Rhinolophus ferrumequinum: one gene and its partners. The protein of the gene in region 1 purifies or fractionates together with the protein of each later gene. This does not show direct contact. Links are inferred from orthologs where the notes say so. Each region holds a gene or a part of one and is shown on either strand. Other genes may lie near its edges.

Evidence for each region.
Region 2: the proteins of HSPB1 (region 1) and G6PD fractionate together in Homo sapiens (co-fractionation; 3 studies listed by BioGRID and IntAct, with this or other methods). This does not show direct contact. The link is inferred for Rhinolophus ferrumequinum from reciprocal best matches to the Homo sapiens genes HSPB1 and G6PD.
Region 3: the proteins of HSPB1 (region 1) and TGFB1I1 purify together in Homo sapiens (affinity purification with western blotting; 3 studies listed by BioGRID). This does not show direct contact. The link is inferred for Rhinolophus ferrumequinum from reciprocal best matches to the Homo sapiens genes HSPB1 and TGFB1I1.

What each region holds. Positions count from the first base shown.
Region 1 is NC_046290.1:92,474,228-92,480,227, forward strand, and holds HSPB1 (heat shock protein beta-1), read right to left. Parts: upstream 2,044-6,000; 5' UTR 1,955-2,043; coding exon 1,585-1,954; intron 1,069-1,584; coding exon 1,005-1,068; intron 916-1,004; coding exon 726-915; 3' UTR 604-725; downstream 1-603. UniProt on the Homo sapiens protein: Small heat shock protein which functions as a molecular chaperone probably maintaining denatured proteins in a folding-competent state. Plays a role in stress resistance and actin organization.
Region 2 is NC_046284.1:6,114,589-6,122,318, forward strand, and holds the start of G6PD (glucose-6-phosphate 1-dehydrogenase), read left to right. Parts: upstream 1-4,714; 5' UTR 4,715-4,788; coding exon 4,789-4,888; intron 4,889-4,982; exon of another isoform or gene 4,983-5,140; intron 5,141-5,711; coding exon 5,712-5,839; intron 5,840-7,730. Other genes in the region: IKBKG (NF-kappa-B essential modulator), read right to left, coding at 760-946. UniProt on the Homo sapiens protein: Catalyzes the rate-limiting step of the oxidative pentose-phosphate pathway, which represents a route for the dissimilation of carbohydrates besides glycolysis.
Region 3 is NW_022680357.1:63,143-70,124, reverse strand, and holds the start of TGFB1I1 (transforming growth factor beta-1-induced transcript 1 protein), read left to right. Parts: upstream 1-3,947; 5' UTR 3,948-4,087; coding exon 4,088-4,100; intron 4,101-5,437; exon of another isoform or gene 5,438-5,535; intron 5,536-5,769; coding exon 5,770-5,885; intron 5,886-5,992; exon of another isoform or gene 5,993-6,009; coding exon 6,010-6,062; exon of another isoform or gene 6,063-6,071; intron 6,072-6,169; coding exon 6,170-6,309; intron 6,310-6,389; exon of another isoform or gene 6,390-6,443; coding exon 6,444-6,531; intron 6,532-6,648; coding exon 6,649-6,754; intron 6,755-6,866; coding exon 6,867-6,982. Other genes in the region: ARMC5 (armadillo repeat-containing protein 5), read left to right, coding at 545-677, 775-1,594. UniProt on the Homo sapiens protein: Functions as a molecular adapter coordinating multiple protein-protein interactions at the focal adhesion complex and in the nucleus. Links various intracellular signaling modules to plasma membrane receptors and regulates the Wnt and TGFB signaling pathways.

The DNA of each region.
Region 1 (6,000 bases):
CAGTTAAGGCAGGCCCTCTTGGAGCGACAACCGTCGTCGTCGTCAGGGTCTTTGCCTCTCTTCCACCAAAACCTAGGCCATTCTGCCCTCACTGTCTGCAGGGCATCCTCAGCCTGAGAGCCCAGGCCCATCCTGCATGGGCATCAGGGGATGGGTCCTTTGACGAGGCCCACCCCGCTTAGTCATCTGAAGTTGCCATACCTCCCATACCATCTACATGGTCCTGTCCCTCTCTGGGAGGACAATAAAGTAATGACGAGGTCAGTAAGGGACCCTGAGCTCCCAGGCAGCTCCCCTCCCCTGGCCCTGCTCTGTCCCCCTTCACCTGACCCCAGCCTAGGAATCCCTGAGTACCCAGTCCTGGGCCAGGAACCTCTCCTGGTTTCCCCAGCTCCCACACCTGCCCCTTGGAGTTTTAATTGCTGGTTACAATCATTACTTCTATCTTAATGGACAAGGGGCCAGAGGGCAGGGCTATACCCTGTAATGGGCATCATTGTACCCACAGGGCCCAGCATGAGGCTTTGCACACAGCAAGGAATGTCAGCCAGGCGACGGTGCCAACCCCTAGGCCTCTACACACACGAGGGTCTGAGGCAGTGGCAGGCAGTTGCTTTGAACTTTATTTGAGAAAAACAACATAAAGGTATCAAAAGAGCATTCAGGCTGACAGGTAGGGATGGTCAGTGATGGCTAATGGGGGGTTCGAAGCAGGGCCAAGGCCTTTACTTGGCTCCAGGCTGCTCCGACTTTCCAGCTTCTGGACCCCCGATCTGGGCACGAGCCTCGAAGGTGACCGGAATGGTGATCTCTGCTGACTGGGTGGCTGGCTTGGGCATCGGGGCCTCCACGGTGAGCGTGCCCTCAGGGGACAGGGAGGAGGAGACCAGGGTGGGGTCCACACCAGGGGGCAGCCTGGACATGCAGAGAGGGAGGACCAGAGTCACACACAGGTAAGTCACTGTGGCCCCCTCCCACTCCCCACCACTGGGCGCAGGACTCACGTGTACTTTCGAGTGAAGCACCGTGAAATGTAGCCATGCTCATCCTGTCTTTCTTCGTGCTTGCCTGCGGAGGGAAGGCGGTCAGAGGTGAGGGAGGGGCCAGCCCGCAGCCCAACACGCCCCACCTGGCGGCCTGGACTCAAGGCAGATCCCGACTGGTGGAGGGATTTGGGGTCGGGGGCTGTCCTCAGAAGCTTCTGGAGTTCTGTTTAGGACTTGGGGGTGGTGGATGCAGTGCCGGGCGTGCGCACACGCCCCCTCCACGGACCCGGTGTAGGGGCGGGGACAGCGCTGGAAGACAAAATTCTCTTCACAGCCACCGCAGGCCCGGGAGTGGGTGAGCGCAGGGAAACTTGGTCATCTGTAGGTTGGGGGTCTTAACTGAAAGGGGGGCATTTCTTCCCTTAATGGGGCGTTTTTAGGACCGAAAGGTCCCTTGGGAGCTATCCGCTAACTCAATTCTAGAGAAGGGGACACAGGCCTGGGGCAGGGCCAGGAAGCTTAATTTTTCGCTGCTCGGGCTCCGCTCCCCGCCCCGCCCCGCCCCGCCCGCTCCGTGCCCGAAGGGCCGGGGGCTCACCGGTGATTTCCACCACACCGTCCTTGGTCTTGACAGTCAGCTCCTCGGGGGCGAAGTGGTTGACGTCCAGGGACACGCGCCAGCGGTCGGCCGTGTGCCGAATCTCCGAGACGCCGCTGCTGAGCTGCTGGCTGAGCGCGCGGCTGTAGGCGGGCGTGGCCACTGCCGAGGAGCCCTCGGCGGCGGCCGGCAGCACCGGGCGCACGTAGCCCGGCCAGCCGCTGTGGCCCAACCAGAGCGACACCTCGTCGGGCAACCGCGGCATCCCGAACGACTGATCGAAAAGGCGGCTGTGGGGCGGGAACCAGTCGCGGAAAGGGTCCCAGCTTGAGCTCCGCAGGAGCGAGAAGGGCACGCGACGCTCTGCCATGCTGGATCGGATCTGCGCGTCTGGCTGAGGCTCGGAGAAGTGCCGGGCGTTGGAGCAAGAAGCGCTTTTATGGGGCTCCAGCCGGGTATTTTTAGCAGGCGGTGCTTCAGGTCTCTATTAATGGCAATGACGGGTTGGGGGCAGCCCCTCCCCCTGCATACCGGCGCAGGGGCGGGGCAAGGAAGACTTCCCACGTCTGGAACCTTCTCGTTCAAATAACCAAACAAATGACTGGAGCACCGATATTGATACAGTGACCACTGCCCGACAGGCCTGGGCGCTAAAGCGCTGGCCCGCGGGCTGAGGAGAGTCCCATTCTTGTGTCGGGGAGGACAAAGCTGAGAGAGGCCACACAACTAGGAAGTGGCAGAGCCAGCATTTGAACCACAGGGTGTCTGTAAAATAATGTCTTTTTTTTTTTTTTTTAAGATCTAAGTGGCTTTAATTAAGCACTTCAGGAATGGGGCAGCATCTCATCTAGCAACTAGAAGGGCACTCCCTGTAAAATTACGTTTTAAGAAGCAGTCTGGTGTGGTTTTAGGTGTGTAGGCTCTGGAGCCAGACTGCCTGGGTTCACATCCTGGTTCTGCCACTACTTGGAAGAACTTGTGCAAGTTAGACTCTGTGTGCCTCAGTTTCCCCATCTAGAAAATGGAGAAAATGGATGATGATAATAATGCTTACACCATTGGGCTGGTGTGAGGATTACGTGACTTAATGCAAGCATAGACTTTAGCCCAGGGCCTGGTACATGATAATTATTGTTATTATCTACCTGGAATTGAAGAGAGGGAGGAAGAAGGAGGATGTGTACCCATCCCTATTGCAGAGGCGGTGGTACCGTGTTTTCCCGAAAATAAGACCTAGCTGGACCATCAGCTCTAATGCTTCTTTTGGAGCAAAAATTAATATAAGACCCGGTATTGTTTTAATATTACATTATGTTATGTTATATATTATTATATTCCTGGTCTTATATTAAGACCCGGTCTTATATTATATTAAAATAAGACTGGGTCTTATATTAATTTTTGCTCCAAAGGACGCATGAGAGCTGATGGTCCGGCTAGGTCTTATTTTCCGGGAAACGTGGTATGTGTGGGTCTGGCCATTTCCCCCCTGCCCTCAGCAGTGGGGCTGGCCCAGATGAGAACCTGGGTCCTAGTGCTGAGAAGAGGTGAGGAGGAAGGTTATTGTCAGTCTCCGCATTATATCTATTTTTCCTTGAGGACAGGAAGCCTGAAATGCAGCAACCTTGAATCTACTCTGAGGTTTGTCACTGACTTACTGTGTGATTTGGGGCAAGGCCCGTCCTTTCTCTAGGCCTCAGTTTTCCTTTTTGCAGATCATGATCTCAAAACCCCTTTTGTTTTTTATTCCCACAGCACAAAGGGAGAGGGGGCTCCAGGTGGTACAGTTTGCTCACTCTTGCTTAGAGCCTGGGGCCTGCCCCTTGACCCCTCCTATCTGACCCTCTATGGGATCCAGGTCTCCATCTTCCATTGCTTGGAGAGGGTGGTGTCCCTAAGCTCCTGCCATAATCCTAACGTCCCCTCTTTCCTTCCTTCACAGGCATGATCCTGGTCCAGCCTTCCTTCTGCTGCCATGTCCTATTATCCTTCCTTTTTAGATGAAGAAACAGGTTCAGAGTGACTGGCCACTATCTCCTGTAAGACAGCAGCACAGTAAGCCTCTTGCCTCTCTAGTGCTTGGGGCTCTTACCCTCAGGGGCTCCTATCTTGGTGTTTCCCTGCCTTCTCTCTTTCTGAGACCCACCATGTTGCTGCCCCTTTCTGGGGCTGAGGCTATACTCTGTCAGTGCTGCAGGGGCTTTGCCCTGCTCAGGACATCTGAGGGGCTGGAAGCTAGACCCCAGGCCGCTCACCTCAATGAATTGGGGGTAACAACAAGTCTCATGCCCTCTCTGAGCCTCAATTTCCTCTTCAAGAGAGAGCTCCTGGATGCCTTCCTTCTTACTCACCTGCACCCCATGAGGAAAGAGTTGGGGCTGGACCATGAATCTGATGTCACCTCTGGAAAAGCCTCTGAGCACCTGGGGTTCTCTTGGGCCAGGGGTGGGAGGCAGACACCCCTGGGGCAGACACCTCTGCCCCATTTCCCTTGCTGGATCAGTAGGTCTCAGCTGGGAGCTCCTGGCTGCCCCCCAAGGGTCTCAGCTTCAGAAAGCCCCAGGTCTTTGGTCCCTGGCGTTCCCAGCCCCACCCGTCCTCACCTCTATAAAGTCAGGATGAGCTCAGGAGCCGGGAGGGCCCTCACCGCCCCTGCCTGCCCACCTTGGCTCAGACTGGAGTGCAGGTGCCCCACCCTAGAAGGAGCTGGCAGGTGTGGTCATGGATGCTTTCAAGTGTGGCCCTGCCAGGCCCAGCCACGCTCTGGGTGGAGGCTGCCTGGCTGGTTGCCAGGGCTTGTAGGCACAAGCTCCCTTCATCTTGCCTGACACCAGGCAGGTAGGATCCATCCTACTGCCCCAGCCAGGGAAGTTGTGCAATAACTCCATCCCTCTGCCCACGGCAGGTGGGGGACACAGAACAGAGAATTCACATCCATCTTCAAATGGCCAGTTCTCGAGAGACTCTAGGGCACCCTGCCAGTAACAACAAAGGAGACATGGGTGGCTCTGGGTCATGGTAAGAGGGGGTGGGGTGTGGGAGAAACTGGGTTTTGAGGTCAGACAAGGATGGACTTGAATCTGGGTGCTGCTGTTCACTGGCCTGGTGACCTCTCTGAGCCTACATGTCCCCAGCTGCAAAACGTGGCCAAAAACGCGCCCATCTTGCAGGGTTGTGGTGAATCCCAAACACAGCTAAGCACATGAAGTGCCTGGTGCTCATTAAGTATTAATCATTATTAATGGAAGAGGGCTTTTACTTTTGGATATCGAAACGTAGATTAATGAGAATTATGCAGTTGTATGAACTTTCTAGCGTATCCAGGTATCTTATTAGAGTCCCATTACTGAGATGAGAAAACTGAGGGTCAGAACTGCCCAAGGTGGCAAAGCTGGTCAGGGGGTGGGGAGGATTGGAATTCAGGCCTCCTGATCCTCTGTCCGGTGGGGGAGACTTCCCAGGCAGTCCAGGGAGGCCTGTGGGCTGTGGGCTTCTCGGTGCAGGGTGAGGTGTTGCCTGTCGGGACAGGGAGGGTTGGGCCAGACTCTCTGGGGTCCTTTCAGACCAGGTGCCTTTTCTCTAGGAGGTTGCACCCTGAAACCAGCCATAGGGCTTGGCAAGAGGAGCAAGGGCTGGATATCAGCCCCACACTTGCCCACCTGCCCAAATGTTCTTTGACAATCTTCTGCTCTAGCTGCCTGGGGTAGTTTCTCTGGGGTGAAGAGGAAACTGACTCCACCCCCAGGGATTTCCCGGAAGCCACAGGGGTGGGGGTGGCAGGGTGAGTGGTGAGGGGAAGTGGGCAGTGCGGGGTCTGGGATTCCTTAATCAGGGGCCCCTCCCCTCATCCCTAGCCCCAAAGTCTGAGGTACTCTGCAGCCCAGCCTGGCAAGAACAGCCTCCCAGCCTGGCACTTGGCCACACTAGTCACACCCTTGGTTGGCTTTTGCCAACTGTGGCTGAGCCAGGCCCTCCTTTCCTGGCTCAGCCCCAGAGAAAGTTCGAGAGTCTTCAGGCAGCTGCAGGAACTCCCTGGAGAAGCCTGACAGCTGACGGATTGTGCTGGTTGCTGGGCCTGCTGGGAACTGAAAATGTGGGCAGCAGTAATTAGAGCGCATGGGGGTGGGGGGCACTAGGTCTTTCTGGAAACGTCTAGACACTGTCCCTCTAGGAATCTATTCCAAAAACCCATTTCCAGCCTGCCCACCCCGTAGGCCTCTGGCTTCTGGCTGGCCTTGGGATTACCTCACCTCCATCACAGGATGGAGTGCCAAGGAAGGGCCAGGTGGGAGGAGACCCATCCTCTAGCCCCTCCCACTCCTCTGTCCATCAGAAACAATCTGTCAGCTTGGGAGCCTGGGGACCTGCATGTCTCTCACTCTGACCTTGGCCAGCAGCCGGCTCCCGTGACTCATT
Region 2 (7,730 bases), on another chromosome or scaffold:
GCAGGGACAGGCATGAATGTGCCGACCCAAGGGCAGCCATGCCACCTGAGGGGCACCGTGCAAGGGCCGCTAGGACCTGGAGAAGCTGCCACAGATACAGCTGAGGACGTGGAGAGTGGGTGAGCAGGGGCTGTGATGGAGACAGGGGTGGGATGGCCAGGAAATGGCCCCCGTGCCAGCCACCTGGGGGAGGAGGTGCTGGAGGACAGCCTTCAGCTGAGGTCTCGTCACAGAGCCACCTGACCCAGGGGCAAAGGCCAAGGACCCCTTCCTTTCCCAGAGCAGGCCACGCCCCCTCCCCACAAGACCCATGCCGTGCCCCTCCCCAGGCTAGCCAGCTCACGACCAATTAGTGCAGAGATATGAAGGCCTGGCTGTGTTGGCCCAACTTGGAGCAACTCAGAGTGTCATTCTGCTCCAGAGCTCCCCGTAGGCTCGGCCTGCACTGCAGCCCAGCTTCTCCCTCTGCCCAGCCCTGCTTCCTCCCTGTCCTTCTCTTCCCCTCCCTCCCTCAGTGTTGGTCCTCAGAGCACTCAGAATAAAGCTCCTATAAGCTCATCTCCATCTCACAAGATGCTTCCGGGGAATCCCACCTAAAACAAAGAGGGAGGGCAGCTGAGCTGCAATCGCTAGCTGGCTCCCTGATACACACCCACCCCCAGACCCAGTAAACACATAGGCATAGGTGAGTAGGATAAGCCTTCCCCCAGCAGGGCTGGGTCCTGACTTTTTACCCCTCACACCCAATGTCCTCCTTACCTCGGAGCTCTTGATTCTCCTCTAGACAGCGCTGGAAGGTCTCAGGAGCGCCCTGCTCCGAAGGCAGGTGGAGCATGGTCGGCTTCCCTAGAGAAGACTCTTCACCCAGCACGTCCTGGTCCCCGGCCGGGCCACCGCTGGGCTGCACCATCTCACACAGCTGACTCTTCCAGGGGGGCCCGCTCATCCAACAAGTCAAGGTCTGGGAGAGAACGGCAGCACAGGCGTCACACGAGACCCGTGCAGAATTCTCTTACCTACAGGACAACGGGTGTAGTGTGTGCAGCAGTTCTGGGGCCAAGTTTTACGCAGAATACCAAGCACTTTGTCGAGTGTAATAGCATGCTAAAATGGGCTTTTTGGTCTAAGAAGTGGCACATACTCCCATTCCAAAGGGAGGTGCAGGCCCACGTATGGGACTTGGGAAGGCCATGGTTCAGCACCAGTTATAAGCCCTGCCTAGCAACTATCTCCGGGCTGTAAGCTGAAGTGAAGAATTTCGCCAAAGGGGAAAATAAGAGAGAGGATTCATTTTGGAGGAAGGTGTCAGTGTGCTGGCTATCCTACCACATACACACACCTGCAAGCAGGAATGGAGGGCGTTGGCCCCTCACCTAGTGTAGTGGGTTGAATGGTGGCCCCCCCAACAAGATACATCCATGTCCTGACCCCAAGAACCTTGGGAATGTAACCTCATTTGGAAAAGGGGTCCTTGCAGATATAATTAGGTGCAGGATCTTTAGAGGAGATCTTCCTGGCTTAGGGTGAGCCCTAAATCCAATGACAGTATCCTTATAGGAGATAAAAGAGGACAGATGCAGACATAGGAAGAAGCCATACGAAGGTGGAGACAGAGACTGGAGTGGCGACAGGCCAAAGGACACTTGGGGCCACCAGAAGCTGCAAGAGGCAGGAAGGACCCTCCCCTACAGCCTCTGGAGAGAGCACGGCCCTGCCCACACTTGACTTCAGACTTCCAGCCTCCAGCACTGGGAAAGAATAAATCTCTTGCAGCAGCCCCAGAAAATTAATGCACCTACTAAGAAGGATTTCGAGGAGACCACTCAGACCCTGATGAATGTTCCCTGGAACTGAGGGGACAAAAGGGAAATCCAGTATCTGACTTTTTGCTTTAGAATCGGCAAGTGGGAGCTGGGCTGACAGCCTAAGACAGTGGGGCAGAGACACAGGCTGAGCTGTCCCCATTCTCTTGTGAACCAGAGGAGAGGCGGGCCGTGAGGGACAGTACCAGCCTGGAGCCCTTTTCAATCCTGCCCAAGAAGACTGACTACCTGGCGGAGGAGGCCACTCTCAATACAAGTTTTGAGGCCTGAGCTGAGGGAGGCTTTCACAACAGATAAACTTGGACATTTGACTACCACACTGAACACACCACTAACTCATCAGCAGCATCTGACCAACCACGGATTCCTCCCTCAGCTCCCAGGACAGCCCTCTCCTAGTTTTCCTCCGACCTCACTGGCTGCTTGTGCTCGGTGCCATGCACTGAATCCTCTTTGGTAACCCAGCCCTTCACACTGTGATGCCCCGGGGCTCTGTTCTAGGATCTCTTCTCTTCTCTGTCCAGTCCCACCAGTACTAAGCATCCAGCCTCATGGCTTTAACCCCCCACCTTAATGTCAATGATGCCCCAAATTAGACCTCTTTCCTCAACGCCACACTCACATATCAAACTCAACATCTCCACTTGGAATCTAGGAGTCCTCTCAAAACTAATCTCTCTAAAACTGTTCCCGACAGTTCCCAAAAGCCAGGTCCCGCAGCCTTCTTTCGTGTCAGCTGATGGCAAATCCATCCTCTCGTTATCAGGACAAATACCATGGAGTCCATCTTGACTCCTGTCTCTCACAGCTCACATCTGATCCATCAGGAAATTCTACCAAAATATATCCCAGAATCGATCTGATGACACTAAGCAATTAATGTTAACTATTTTAGGTGGGATATGGTATTGTGGTTGTTTTTTTTTTTTTTTCAGTCCTTTCTTAGAGATGCATACTGAAATATTTACGCATGGTGTCTGAAATCCACTTCAAAGTAATGGGGAAATTCCTAGGTATATACCCAAAAGAAATGAAAACACATGTCCATACATGAATGCTCACAGCAACATTACTCATGACAGCCAAAGAATGGAAACAACCCAAATGTCCATCAACTGATGAATAATCAAAATCTAGACATGTTACAAAATGGATGAATCTTGCAAACATTATGCTAAGAAAAAGAAACAACTCACAAAAGACCACATATTGTATGATTCCATTTATATGAAAGGTCCAGAATAGGCAAATACACAGAGACAGAAAGATTAGTGGATGCTTAGAGGCGGGGGAGATGGGGTGATGGGGTGACAGCTAGAGGGTGCAGGGTTTCTTTTTGGAGTGATAAAAATGTTCTGGAATTAGTGGGTATGGTTGTACAACTCTAAATATATTAAAAACCAGTGAACTGTACACTTTAAATGGGTGAACTGTGTGGTATGTGAATTATATCTCAATAAAGCTGTCATTAAAAAGAGTAATGGGAGAGGATTGTAAAAGGTATAAATTAAACAAAATTGGCCACAAGTTGATAATTGTTGAAGCTGGGAGGTGGGCACATGGGATTTACTACACTCTTCTTCCTACTTTTGTACGTCTTTGTAATTTTTCATAATAAAATGCTCATAGCACCATTGTCTCTCACTTGGATTACTGCAACAACCTCCTAACAGGTCACCCCTGTTCCTACCCTTGCCCCATACAGTCTGTTCTCCCCACCTCGGTCAGAACAATCCGCCTAAAAGGTAATTCCAATCATGTCCCTCCTCTAATCAGATCTCTACCATGCATGGTTCCTCATTACCCTCTGTGTAAAAGCCAAAGTCCCTACAATGGCCTACAAGACCCTGCACTATCTGATCCCTTACTGCTTCCTCTCCAAGTACCTCACTCACTCTGCTCCAGCTATAATGGCCTCCTTGCTCTTCTTCCAACATGCCATGATGGCCCTTTTATCCTCAAGTCACACAAACGGTATGAGGTCGGGCTGACATGAATCGTTTTTGAAAAGTGAACAAACGGAGGCACATGAGATAAGACACTTAGCTGCCAACTCTATTTGAGGTCTTTTTAAAGAATTTAACCACCTCACACACAAGCAAGTTTGAACAGAAAATGTCTCCGAACTACAAGAGTCATCCACGAACTATGGGTGTGGTCAGACTCCGCGGCAGCGGAGGAGGGACAAGCGGAAACAGTCCCGCTCGCCTCCAAGGCAACCTGGGTCCTGCATCGGCCCGCCTGGGCCAGTACTCTAGAAGCGGGTGGCAGAAACGGACCTGGGCCCAACAGGAGAGGGAAGCCTAGACGTCCGGGGGAAATCTAGGAGGCGGCGGAACGCCCACCGATGGTACCCTGTCTTCGGGGAAGAGGACCACACCTTTCAGCAGAATCAGTCCGACGTAAGAAGGGCGGGAGCAGCGGGCCGCGAGCGCTCCTCGGGCCCCGTCGCTCCGAGAAAGTCCCGGTTCCGCGGTCGCTCTTCCCTTCTCCCCCACGAAATTCCCACTTCCGGCTTCCGGTGTCGTAACTGTGGGATCCGGAAGTAAAACACGCAAGCCCCGCCCCTCCAAAGAGGCCGGGAATAGATGTGAGGGAAGCTGTTCCAAAGGGAAGCCTGAGCCCGCCACCCTCGGCCGGCCCGCAGGACGCTCCCCAGTGATGTTCCCCACCCGCTACTTTCCGGGGCGTCAAACCCACACTCCCCCTTGTCTCTTGAGCGGTGGCACCCAGCCTCCGGGCGCTCGGCCGCCCCGCCCCTGCTAGGGGAGGAGCCACGAAGAGGCTACCTCGCAGGACAGGTTTGACCGGTCCGGGAGGGGGCGGGGTGAAGACGGCCCCGCCCATAAATGGGGGTCGAGGAGGCGTGGCCACACTGCCGGCGGAAGTGAGCCCTCCGCGAGGGCGCCGGGCCGCCGGGGGCGGAGGGGCAAAATCAGAGTGTAGGGGCGGGGTAGGGCTGGCTATGGAGACGTGGGCGAACGGCGCAGAGCTGCTCGCGGACTCGCGAGGCATCGGGGACGCGACACAGCGGCGATGGGCACAGCAGGCAGCGGCCGGCCCAGGTGCCCAAGGGATGGGGCGGGCCAAGGGAGGGGACTCCGCGGGAGGGGAGGCTAAGATGCGCGCGCACCTGCCCTGCCCCCCGCGAGGGAGGGGCCCATGGAGGCCCCGCCCGCGCGCCTCGCCTGAGGCGGTCAGCTCAGCTCAGGCGCCCGCCCCCGCTGGTTAAATGGACCCGCGGGTCGCAGCCCCCGGAAACGTCCGGGAACTCCGGGGCTGAGAGACCAACTGGCAGAGGCGGACAGGAAGCTCAGGTAACGAAGTGGGCGGGCGCCACACCGGTGTTGGGGTGTGCTGCGCCGCGAGGCCTTTCGATTTGCCATGCTGGGGAGCCGGGTAAAATCAGAGAGTCTTAACGCTTTCCAGTGGACCCCTGAGGAGACTGAGATCGTGAGAGGGGCAGGGACTTGCCATGATCTCCCAGCTTGGTAGGAGGAGGACTGGAGCTGCAGGGTCTAACATGCTCCAGCTTGTTGTGGGGTTTCCGCCTGATTCCAGGCTGAGATGAAACTAGCATCGTGCGATGCTCCAGCAGGGGTTTTTTTACCCAGTTCCTCAGAATTGAGACTCTCGTTGGAATCCACTAGTGCTTTGAGTAATTTTGTAATGTACACTGTGAAAGAAGGCTTCCTGGGGAGTATGGCCGGAGCTCAGAGCCAGCAGCTTCTAACCCCCCAACCATCCTACCTCCCCCCATTCTCAGCCAGTGGTTTCGAATAATCAGACTTCAGCTGAGTGAGAGCCCGAAAGACCCCTGAAGAAAGGGGCCATCTTCTCAGAGCTCTTCTGTTCTCGTGCCTTGTCAACAAGTCTTTCTTTCACCAGAGAGCATCATGGCAGAGCAGGTGGCCCTGAGCCGGACCCAAGTGTGCGGGATCCTGCGGGAAGAGCTGTACCAGGGTGATGCCTTCCATCAGTCCGATACACATATCTTCATCATCATGGGTGCATCGGTGAGTCTCCCCCAGGCCCCACATCTTAAAAGTGTGAAGTTGCTTAAGGTCTCTTCCTGCTGGGTACCTGAGCTTTCCCAACTGGTTGCCGTGGGGCCACACAGGCTCAGCTCAGTTAGACTCTCCTTCTTACTCCTGCTCGTGTGCCATTATCACCCAGCACACCTGGTATACACACACTGTGAGGCATTTCTGAAACCTGCAGAGCCGTTGAATGTAGACCCATGTCCTGGAGCTGGAAGGTCCTTAGGGACTGTCTGATTGGATTGCTTCCTCCATGGGGAAAACTGAGATGCAAACAAGGGAGGCTATTCATTCTGTGTGTATCTTTCTCAAACTTGTTTGTGACTTGACAAATGTCACACAGTCAATTAGTTCCAGAGGCAGGATCTGAGGCCCAATCTCCACCTTGTCTCTCTACCACGTCAAGTTCCCTGGGGACAAACACTCAACCTTTCTTTGAACACTGTCTCTTTGCCCCAACTTCCAAGGCCTGCTGAGGAGCTGTGACCTGCCCCATTGTCTAGCCAGTGGCACTGCCATTTTGCTCTGATAGGAAAGGCCATGGCCCCTACACTAAGGCCCCCTCCCGGTGTACCATGTGGAAATGAGATCTCTGCCAGGCGGCAAGATGTGTGCAGGGCCTGGTGAGATGAGTTGCCAGGGCTTCATGTCGAAGTTAAAGCGGCCTTCTCTTTTCACGTTGAACCCTGAATGTGACGAAGCATCTGCTAAGCATCGCAGGACCATTTTTACCCATAACTTACTGTATAATCTTGAGGGAGAGTTCTACCCAAACTAGTCAGCTCTTGACGGGGAAGGCATGGTCTCTCTGTGCCGTCCACATCATGCTCCCCTCACTCTGGAGGACCTTGGTTCTTTGTTCACGTATCAGCGTGCCACTGTCCTTTGCAGAGGCTGCCCCCTGCCAACTTTGGGATTCTGATTAGAACTTGGAAAAGGAGAGCCAGAATGCAGGGAGGGAGGCAGAGTGGGGGAGAAAGGTTCTGCCGGTGGGAGGGAGGGAAGGCCTGCACTAAGCACTGTCCTCTGGCTCCCCGTAAGTCCACGGCTGGGGAGTACACAGTAGCAGCACACAGGGGGCAGATGTGACGTCCACCTTGTCTCCAGCCTGGTCCCCTTAGAGGAGCCATACCTGTATTGGCCACAAACCTTAACACCAAGGACTCTGACCATTAGGCCCTTTGTCCAAGAAATAGTTTGGAGGAGAAAGTAACTCAGGATTAGTTCTCTTCCTTCCCTCCAGTCACAGGATGCCCCAATAGAGCGTCCCAGGCCACAATAAATGGCTTACAATTCCAGACCCTCAACTCTTAGACATCTCACTGAGATCATCCAAGCTTGCTGTGTGACCTGGGGCAAGTGTCTTCCCTTCTCTGAACCTCTGTGTTTCCATGTAGCAAATGAGGGCTTTTGAAGCAAATGCCAAGGCTTCCTTGGGCTCTGCCGAGCTGATTCTGTAGCTCCTCATCATTGCCTTCCTCTGTGGCCAGCTTGGGGTTGGGCAACTTTGTTTTCTTGCAATTGGTGAGGTTCCCCTTTGCTCCCCTCTGCTCTGAGAGCAACAAACAGAAGCTTTCAGAGCAGAAGTGGGAAGTGCCACTTCAGTGCGGTGGAGTGGAGGAGGACAGGCTGTGGGGAGGGGATCCTCCGAAGAAGAGCCTCCTTGTTTGTTTCTCCATCCTGCAGTTCAAGGGGGCTGGAGTGGGGTAGGCGGGCCTCCCATGCTCAGGCAGCACCTAGAACAGCTCCCAGAAGCAGGCCTCCCATGCCTGCTCCCTCCATGTAGAAAGTAGGCACGGTGGTTCTCTGGGAAACCAGTTAGTTCTCTGCTTATTCAGGCATCAAGTGGCGATTGAGTACCTCCTCT
Region 3 (6,982 bases), on another chromosome or scaffold:
CTCACTGCCCGCCCGGCCCACCCTCCGAATGACTCCAGCCACCAAGAATTAGGAAGGAAGAGTTCTGTCCTGCCCCCAGTCCCAGCATGCAGAGACCTCCATCCTCTGCCCGAGCCTTAGGGTCAGATACCAGGCTGGGCCCCAACAACTTAGCATTGTGCCTGCCTGCATTTCCTGTCCCAGTGTGGGTTCTGCAGTCCTGCCTGTTCCCCACTAGGCACAAGGATTTGTGAGCCCAGGCTTAGGCACCATGGCCTTCCAGACCCCACCCCCATTTCCAGCTCTGCCAGGTTGCGTTTCAGCCCTTAAGGGCCCTGATTCACCCCCTCAGACTCCCTCCCACTTCTCATTTCTGCCCCTGACCCCCAGTCCCTAGCATCTGGCCCCGTCCCCCCAGAGCCTGTGGCCGCCCCCCTTCCCTGTGCCCTGAGCTTCTGCTCTCCTCCATGTCTGGGGCCCGAGTCCTGTCGTGCCCAGCCAGCCCCGTCCAGCTGTCTTGGACACCACCAGCTCCCAGCCTGACCCTGCCTGCCCACCCCTGCAGGTGAGATGCTGCTGCAGAACCTGACCGTGCAGGCTGAGTCGCCCTTCGGGGTGGGTGCCCTCACTCACCTGCTGCTCTCCGGGAGCCCCGAGGACCGAGTGGCTTGTGCGCTGACCCTGCCCTTCATCTGCCGGTGAGGCCGTGGGTGCTTTTCATGGGTTGGGAGCAAGGTTGCTGTTCCCCAGTCCTGTCCTTTCCCACCTCTTGAAGCGTTCTCTTTCTCCCTGAAGGAAGCCGTCTCTGTGGCGCCGGCTGCTTCTGGACCAGGGCGGCCTACGTGTCCTCCTGTCGGCGCTGACGCTGCCAGCCCCACACCCGCTCTTCCTCTTCTTCGCGGCGGACTCCCTGTTCTGCCTGCAAAGCCTGGTGTCGCCCACTGCAACCCCAGCCTCCCCACCGGCAGTCCCGGGGGACCCAGAGGTGCCCTCCCCTTGCCTCTATGAGCCTCTGCTGGGCCCAGCGCCCACCCCAGCCCCTGACCTGCATTTCCTGCTCGACTCTGGCCTGCGGCTGCCTGCCCAGCGAGCTGCCTCTTCAACAGCATCCCCTTTCTTCCGAGCCCTGCTGGATGGCAGCTTTGCCGAAGCCCAGATGGACCTGGTACCGCTTCGAGGTCTGTCACCCAGCGCGGCCTGGCCTATCCTGCATCACCTGCATGGCTGCCGGGGCTGTGGGGCATCCCTGGGGCCCATTCCCCCGCCAGGCCAGCCCCTGCTGGGCTCCGAAGCTGAAGAGGCGCTGGAGGCTGCTGGCCGTTTCCTGCTGCCTGGGCTGGAGGAGGAGCTGGAAGAGGCCGTGGGCCACGTCCACCTGGGACCTCAGAGTGGCCCAGCGTCCGTGGGTGAGGTGTTCCGCCTGGGCCGGCCCCGGCTGGCTGCTCACTGTGCCCGCTGGACACTGGGGCCAGAGCAGTGTCCGCGGAAGCGCGCCCTGGCTCTGCTGGGGCTTGTGGAGGCAGCAGGCAAGGAGACTGGTCCCCTGACTGAAGCTTTACTGGCCGTGGTGATGGGGGGTGAGTCTGGGGGTAAGGGTCCCAGTGTAGACTGTTGATGTCCCCTCGGAGGGGACCCAAAGATGAGATGGCTGTGAAGGTGGCCTCCCTCAGAGAGGCTGGGCGAGGAGGCTGAGCAGAAGGGGCCACCGCGGACAGGAGAGGGTGGCCCTCGACCCCAGGATGATGGGCTGACGACTCAAGAGTGAGAAGCCAAGGCCGGGGTCTGGCCTGGGGCCCATGAGACGGAGAAGAGCCCAGGGCCCCGGGCCTGGCCCAGCACCTGGAGTGGGATTAAACTTTGGAAGTGGAAACCCTACTGTGTGTTGTCTCTGTTTACTTTCTCTTGGGGGTCTCCTCGCACCCTCACCCATCAAGGAGGGTTTTGTCCCGGCCCCTGTGTCTCAGTGCAGGACACCCTGGCATGGAGGAGTTTCACGAGGGACATGCAGTGGTTCCTGGAGTCCCGGCACAGGGTGGAGTCCCCAGGCCTCTCCCTAGGATGTGGTTTCGGGCCCCAAGGGAGGCCTGCCTCCCGCTCACATGATGTCATTGCTCAGACAGCTTCTCAGCTGGCCTCCGAGAGGGTTGTGCTGGGGCAATGCAAGATGCCCCTGGCCTGGGTGTTCCTGCTTTTCGAGTGTCCATCACCCATCTCGGGCCTTCAGTCTGTGGGTTCATTTTCATCTCTTGGGCCAAGTGTCCTGCTGTTTTCCTAAAGGCAGGTCTGCTGCGGAGTCCCTGAGGCCTTGTCTTGGGCTGGCAAAGCCCTGGGCTGGCACTGAGGTGAGGGACGGGCTCCTGTCACTTTGTCCCCAAGGCAGGGTCTCCGTCACCTGGCTCCCAGGTCTGACCACTCAGGTGGCAACGTGACTGAGGAGACTTGCTGGACAGGGTGTGCCGGTGGCCTCTGTGGACTAAGGTGGACACTGATGCCACTGTCCAGGCCTCTATTAGGCTGCACATTAGAACCAGCAGAGCGCTTTTGGAAGATAAGTGAAATACTGATGCCTGAGTCCTCTCTGCTTGGATTGGACTGCGCAGCAGTATTTTTAAAAAGCCCCCCAGGTGGTTCTGATTGGCTTCTGGTTTTGATTGTTTTCCTTCTTCCGTTTAACATGGCCGATTGCCTGACAGGAAAAATAACAAATGGAGATCAATTCTTGTAAGGATCCCAGCTCAACAAGGGCTGTGTCACAAGAGACAGTATCAGCAAGTAGACACAACTGGGGACCACCTGTGGCACCGATTCTTACTTTATTTTTCTGAATGACAATCTTAAAACAAGGGTCGTACCCTCTTCTACGGTTGTCGGCCTTGTATACATTTGCTCCACTGTATACAACAGGACGTTGTATACCTTAGTTCTACATCCAAAACACGTGTCGTAAGGAAATTTACATTTTAATTTCAGATTTTCACATATAAATCAAAGCCTATGTTAAAAATGTAATACTCCACCCAACGCGAACCGTTTTACATGAAATAGTTCATGTGATGCCTTGGACACACAATGGCAGTAAATGCCTTGTATCCCGGCCTGATGGTGGGCACAGCGGCTCACGTGGCCAGCTAAGTCCCCAAGGTTGAAGCGCTCATGGCTGGACTCTGGTCTGGGTGGACACCACGGCGCAGTTGTGTCTGTCCAGACCCGTGTACCAGGGCGTGTCTTATTTCCGCCCTGACTTCTCAGGGTCTCAGTCCAGGGAAGGCCTCTGACTCCTTGGTCGCTGGGCCGGCTGGAGCCTTGTCTGGCTTGCTGTCTTCTCCGGGCCCATCAGCAGCTCGGGAATAGGTCTGGGCAGCCTCAGTGCTGGGGAGGGGCTTTGTCTTGAAGGCTGCGTGGGGTCTGGCTGGTGGGAGTGTTTTCTGAGTCTGCGTGGGGCTGGTGCCTGAGTTTCAGTTTAACTGTGTCTGTTTCCAAGTCTAGGACACCTGGTTTAGTGGAAGGGTTCACTGTGTCTGTCTCAGTCTCTGAGAGATTTATTCGTGTCTAGTGCATGTGCCCTCTGTCTATGTCATTGTGTGTCAGGGTCGCTAAGCGAAGTTCTCTGAACCTGCGATCTGACTGATCCTAGAACATCATTCCTGTCTCCAGCCCCCAAATTCTGTCTGGAGCAAGCCTGGGCAAGAGGAGGGGCTGCGTCTGCAACTCGGGGTGCTGGCTTCGGGAGGTTCTGTTTGGGGGTCTCAGTCTGCATCTGAGCGCCTCTCTGGGCGGAGCTTCCCAGGCTGCTCTAAGAGCCACTTCTCTGACTCTGGCTGTGGCCGCCTGGGGCTCCCTGCAGCTGAGGCCAAGGCCGGGGTGTGGCCGCCTCTCTGTGATCAGGGGCCGGGCCTGCGTGGTCTGGGCCCTCCCTCCCTTACACGCCCCCACCCAGGCTTCTCTTGTTCCTTGCCCCCACTCCCCCCACCTTTCCCTCCAGCTCCATCCCAACGGGTCCCGCTTCCTTACATGGTCACGGGCTGGGCCTCCAGTTCCCGGACGTCCCCCCTTCCACCGGACACGGCCCCCGCCCTGCTCACCCAGCGTGGTCTGTCTGCACCCCGCCATGGAGGACCTGGGTGAGTGGGGCTGGGTCCCCCCGTCCCCAGCCCTTCACTATCCCCTGGACCCGCTTCCCCATACTGGAGCCCCCTTGCACTCCCCTCCTGCATCTCCCCATCCCTGCCTCCTGTCGTCTGGCTTCTGTCTCTGCCCGCGCCTCCTTTCTAATTCCACGTCCCCCTTCCTGCCTCTCCCTTCCTGCCTTTCCCAGGCTGGCCGCTCCCTCCCTTCTCGCCTCGCCCCACTCTTCCTTCACAGGCTGCGGACAGATGGGCAGGGAGGTGCGGTGGCCCTGGGCTCCTGGGCTCAGGGGCTCTGGGACGGGAGGGTTTAAAGGGATCCTGGGTCTGGGGACCGGGAAAGTAGGCAGGAAGGGAGGCTATGACACCCAGTTCTGGAGAAGGAAACCGGCCTGCCCTGGGGTTTCGGGAAGGAAAGCGTTAAGGGGTCCCTAAGTTTGGTAGCGATCCATAGGTGGCGGGGAGACGTTAAAGGTTCCACCACGCCGCTCAGAGATGAAGAGTAAAGGGACAGGGACTTCTGAGTTCTGGAAGGGAAAGCGTTCAAAAGATCCAGATCTGGGGATGGGCAGTTGTGCTGTCTGGGCAGAAAGGAGGACGCAGGCATCTTGTCCTCTCTGTCTGTTGGAACTGGGGCTGGAAGGCTGTGCCCTCCAACCGTGGGACAGAAAGGGTTCCAGCAGACTGTAATGAGGGGTGATGCTCGGTAGGGGTAACGGGCACTGATACTGCGGAGAATAGGCCAATCAGAAGGCAGGTCCCTGCAGACTCACCAATGAGGTGCATAGGGTGGGACCCAGTGGGTCTGGAGGCGGGCCAGAGCGGAGTGGGCCTGTTCAGGTCGGGGGAGAAATTAGTGGGCGTGGTAAGAGAGCTTCCAATCAGAAAGCTGGGTTCCAGGCATACAGCCAATTGAGCAATTTGGGGTGGAGCCAAACTTGGCTCCAGTAAAGAGCCAATTTTGACTGCATTAGGGAAGATTCGGAGGATAAAAAAAAATCAGGTGGGTGGGTTTGTGGGTAACTCCCAGGATGAGCCATTTGGGATGTTCTGCTCATAAATATTCCTTGCTGCCCTTCCACTTTTCTACCTGGGTTTGGCCTTGTGTTTCCCTCTCATTCCTTTTTTTAAAAAAAAAAAAAAAAAAGCTTAGTGGGGAAGGTGAACTGGACTTTATTGGGGAACAGTGTGTACTTCCAGGACTTTTCCAAGTCAAGCTGTCCTTTCAATCTTAGTTGAGGAGGGTGCAGCTCAGCTCCAGGTCCAGTTGCCGTTGTTAGTCACAGGGGGAGCAGCCCACCATCCCTTGAGGGAGTGGAACCCGCAACCTTGTGGTTGAGAGGACGTGCTCCAACCAACTGAGTCATGTGGCTACTCAAGAAGCTCAGCGGCAGATCATTGACTTCATTCTAGTTGCGGAGGGCGCAGCTCGCTGGCCCATGTGGGAATTGAACCGGCAACCCTGTTGCCCAGAGCTTGCACTCTAACCACCTGAGCTACCCATCCGCCCTCCCTGATGCCTGATGCCTGATGTCTGCTCTCAATACTTGCTTCTGTCCTCAACTACTGCCCACTTGGAACTCATCTTCTCATCTGTTAAGACCCTCTTTGTCTCTGACCTAACTTTGACCTCTCAGCTTCTCACGCTGATGACCTCTCCCTGCAGATGCCCTGCTCTCTGACCTGGAGACCACCACGTCACACATGCCAAGGTCAGAGGCTCCAAAAGAGCAGCCCCCAGAGGCCCTCACATCTTCCCTGTCCTATGGCCACCAGCCGCAGGTGAGATCAGAGGCTGTGGCCTGGGGCAACCACTCGGGCCCGTCTTGGCCTGGGCTCGGGGGAATCTGGGCCTGAGTGAGGCAAGATACAGGTCTGCCATCCCATACCTGTGTCCTCTCTGTAGATGGGGTCTGGCGAGTCTTCAGGAGCCTCAGGGGACAAGGACCATCTGTACAGGTAAGGGGCCTGGGAACGGGGATGAGGGGTGGAGAAGCCCAATGAGACTCAGGTGAGGAGGCTTGGACTCCCCACCCCTGAACCCAGGCTCCCACCCTGTTTCCCAGCACGGTATGCAAGCCTCGGTCCCCGAAGCCTGCGGCCCCCGCGGCCCCTCCGTTCTCCTCCAGTGGTGTCTTGGGCACAGGGCTCTGTGAGCTGGACCGCTTGCTTCAGGAGCTTAATGCGACTCAGTTTAACATCACAGGTACGGGGGTTACTGCGACAGGCCTTCACCAAGGGGTACATACTCCCCAGAGCAGCAGTGGAAAGGACTCAAAGCCTTACGCGGGAGGCGGGTAGAGCACGGTCCCGTGTCCAGCCCTTCTCTCCTCTCCGCAGATGAAATAATGTCTCAGTTCCCATCTAGCAAGGAGACTGCAGGGGAGCAGAAAGAGGACCAATCTGAGGACAAGAAAAGGCCCAGTGGGTGAGTTTGCACAGTTGGCAGGGCTGGGAGAGAGGTGATCGGTCCTGAATGCCTGAGATACTGGAAAGAGCGTTCCTCTGGGAGGCTCGGAGCCGACACACGCTGTGTTCTTCACAGGCCCCCTAGCCCATCCCCCGTTCTCCAAAAGCCTTCGGCTACCTCTGCCACCCTGGAGTTGGACAGACTGATGGCGTCACTCTCTGACTTCCGAGTCCAGAACCACGTGAGTCAGGCAAGGGGGCGGGCCGCTGTGGATGTGTGGCTCCCCGGCCCATCTTAAACCTTTCCACATCTGCTGCCTTGCTGACTCAACTCACATGTGCCCCCTGCTGCAGCTCCCAGCTCCTGGGCCAACCCAGCCACCAGGGCCAAGCTCCGTGGATGAGGGCTCCCCGTCCCCAGCGGAGCCTACCAGCAAGGGCGGCCTGGACACCATGCTGGGTCTGCTGCA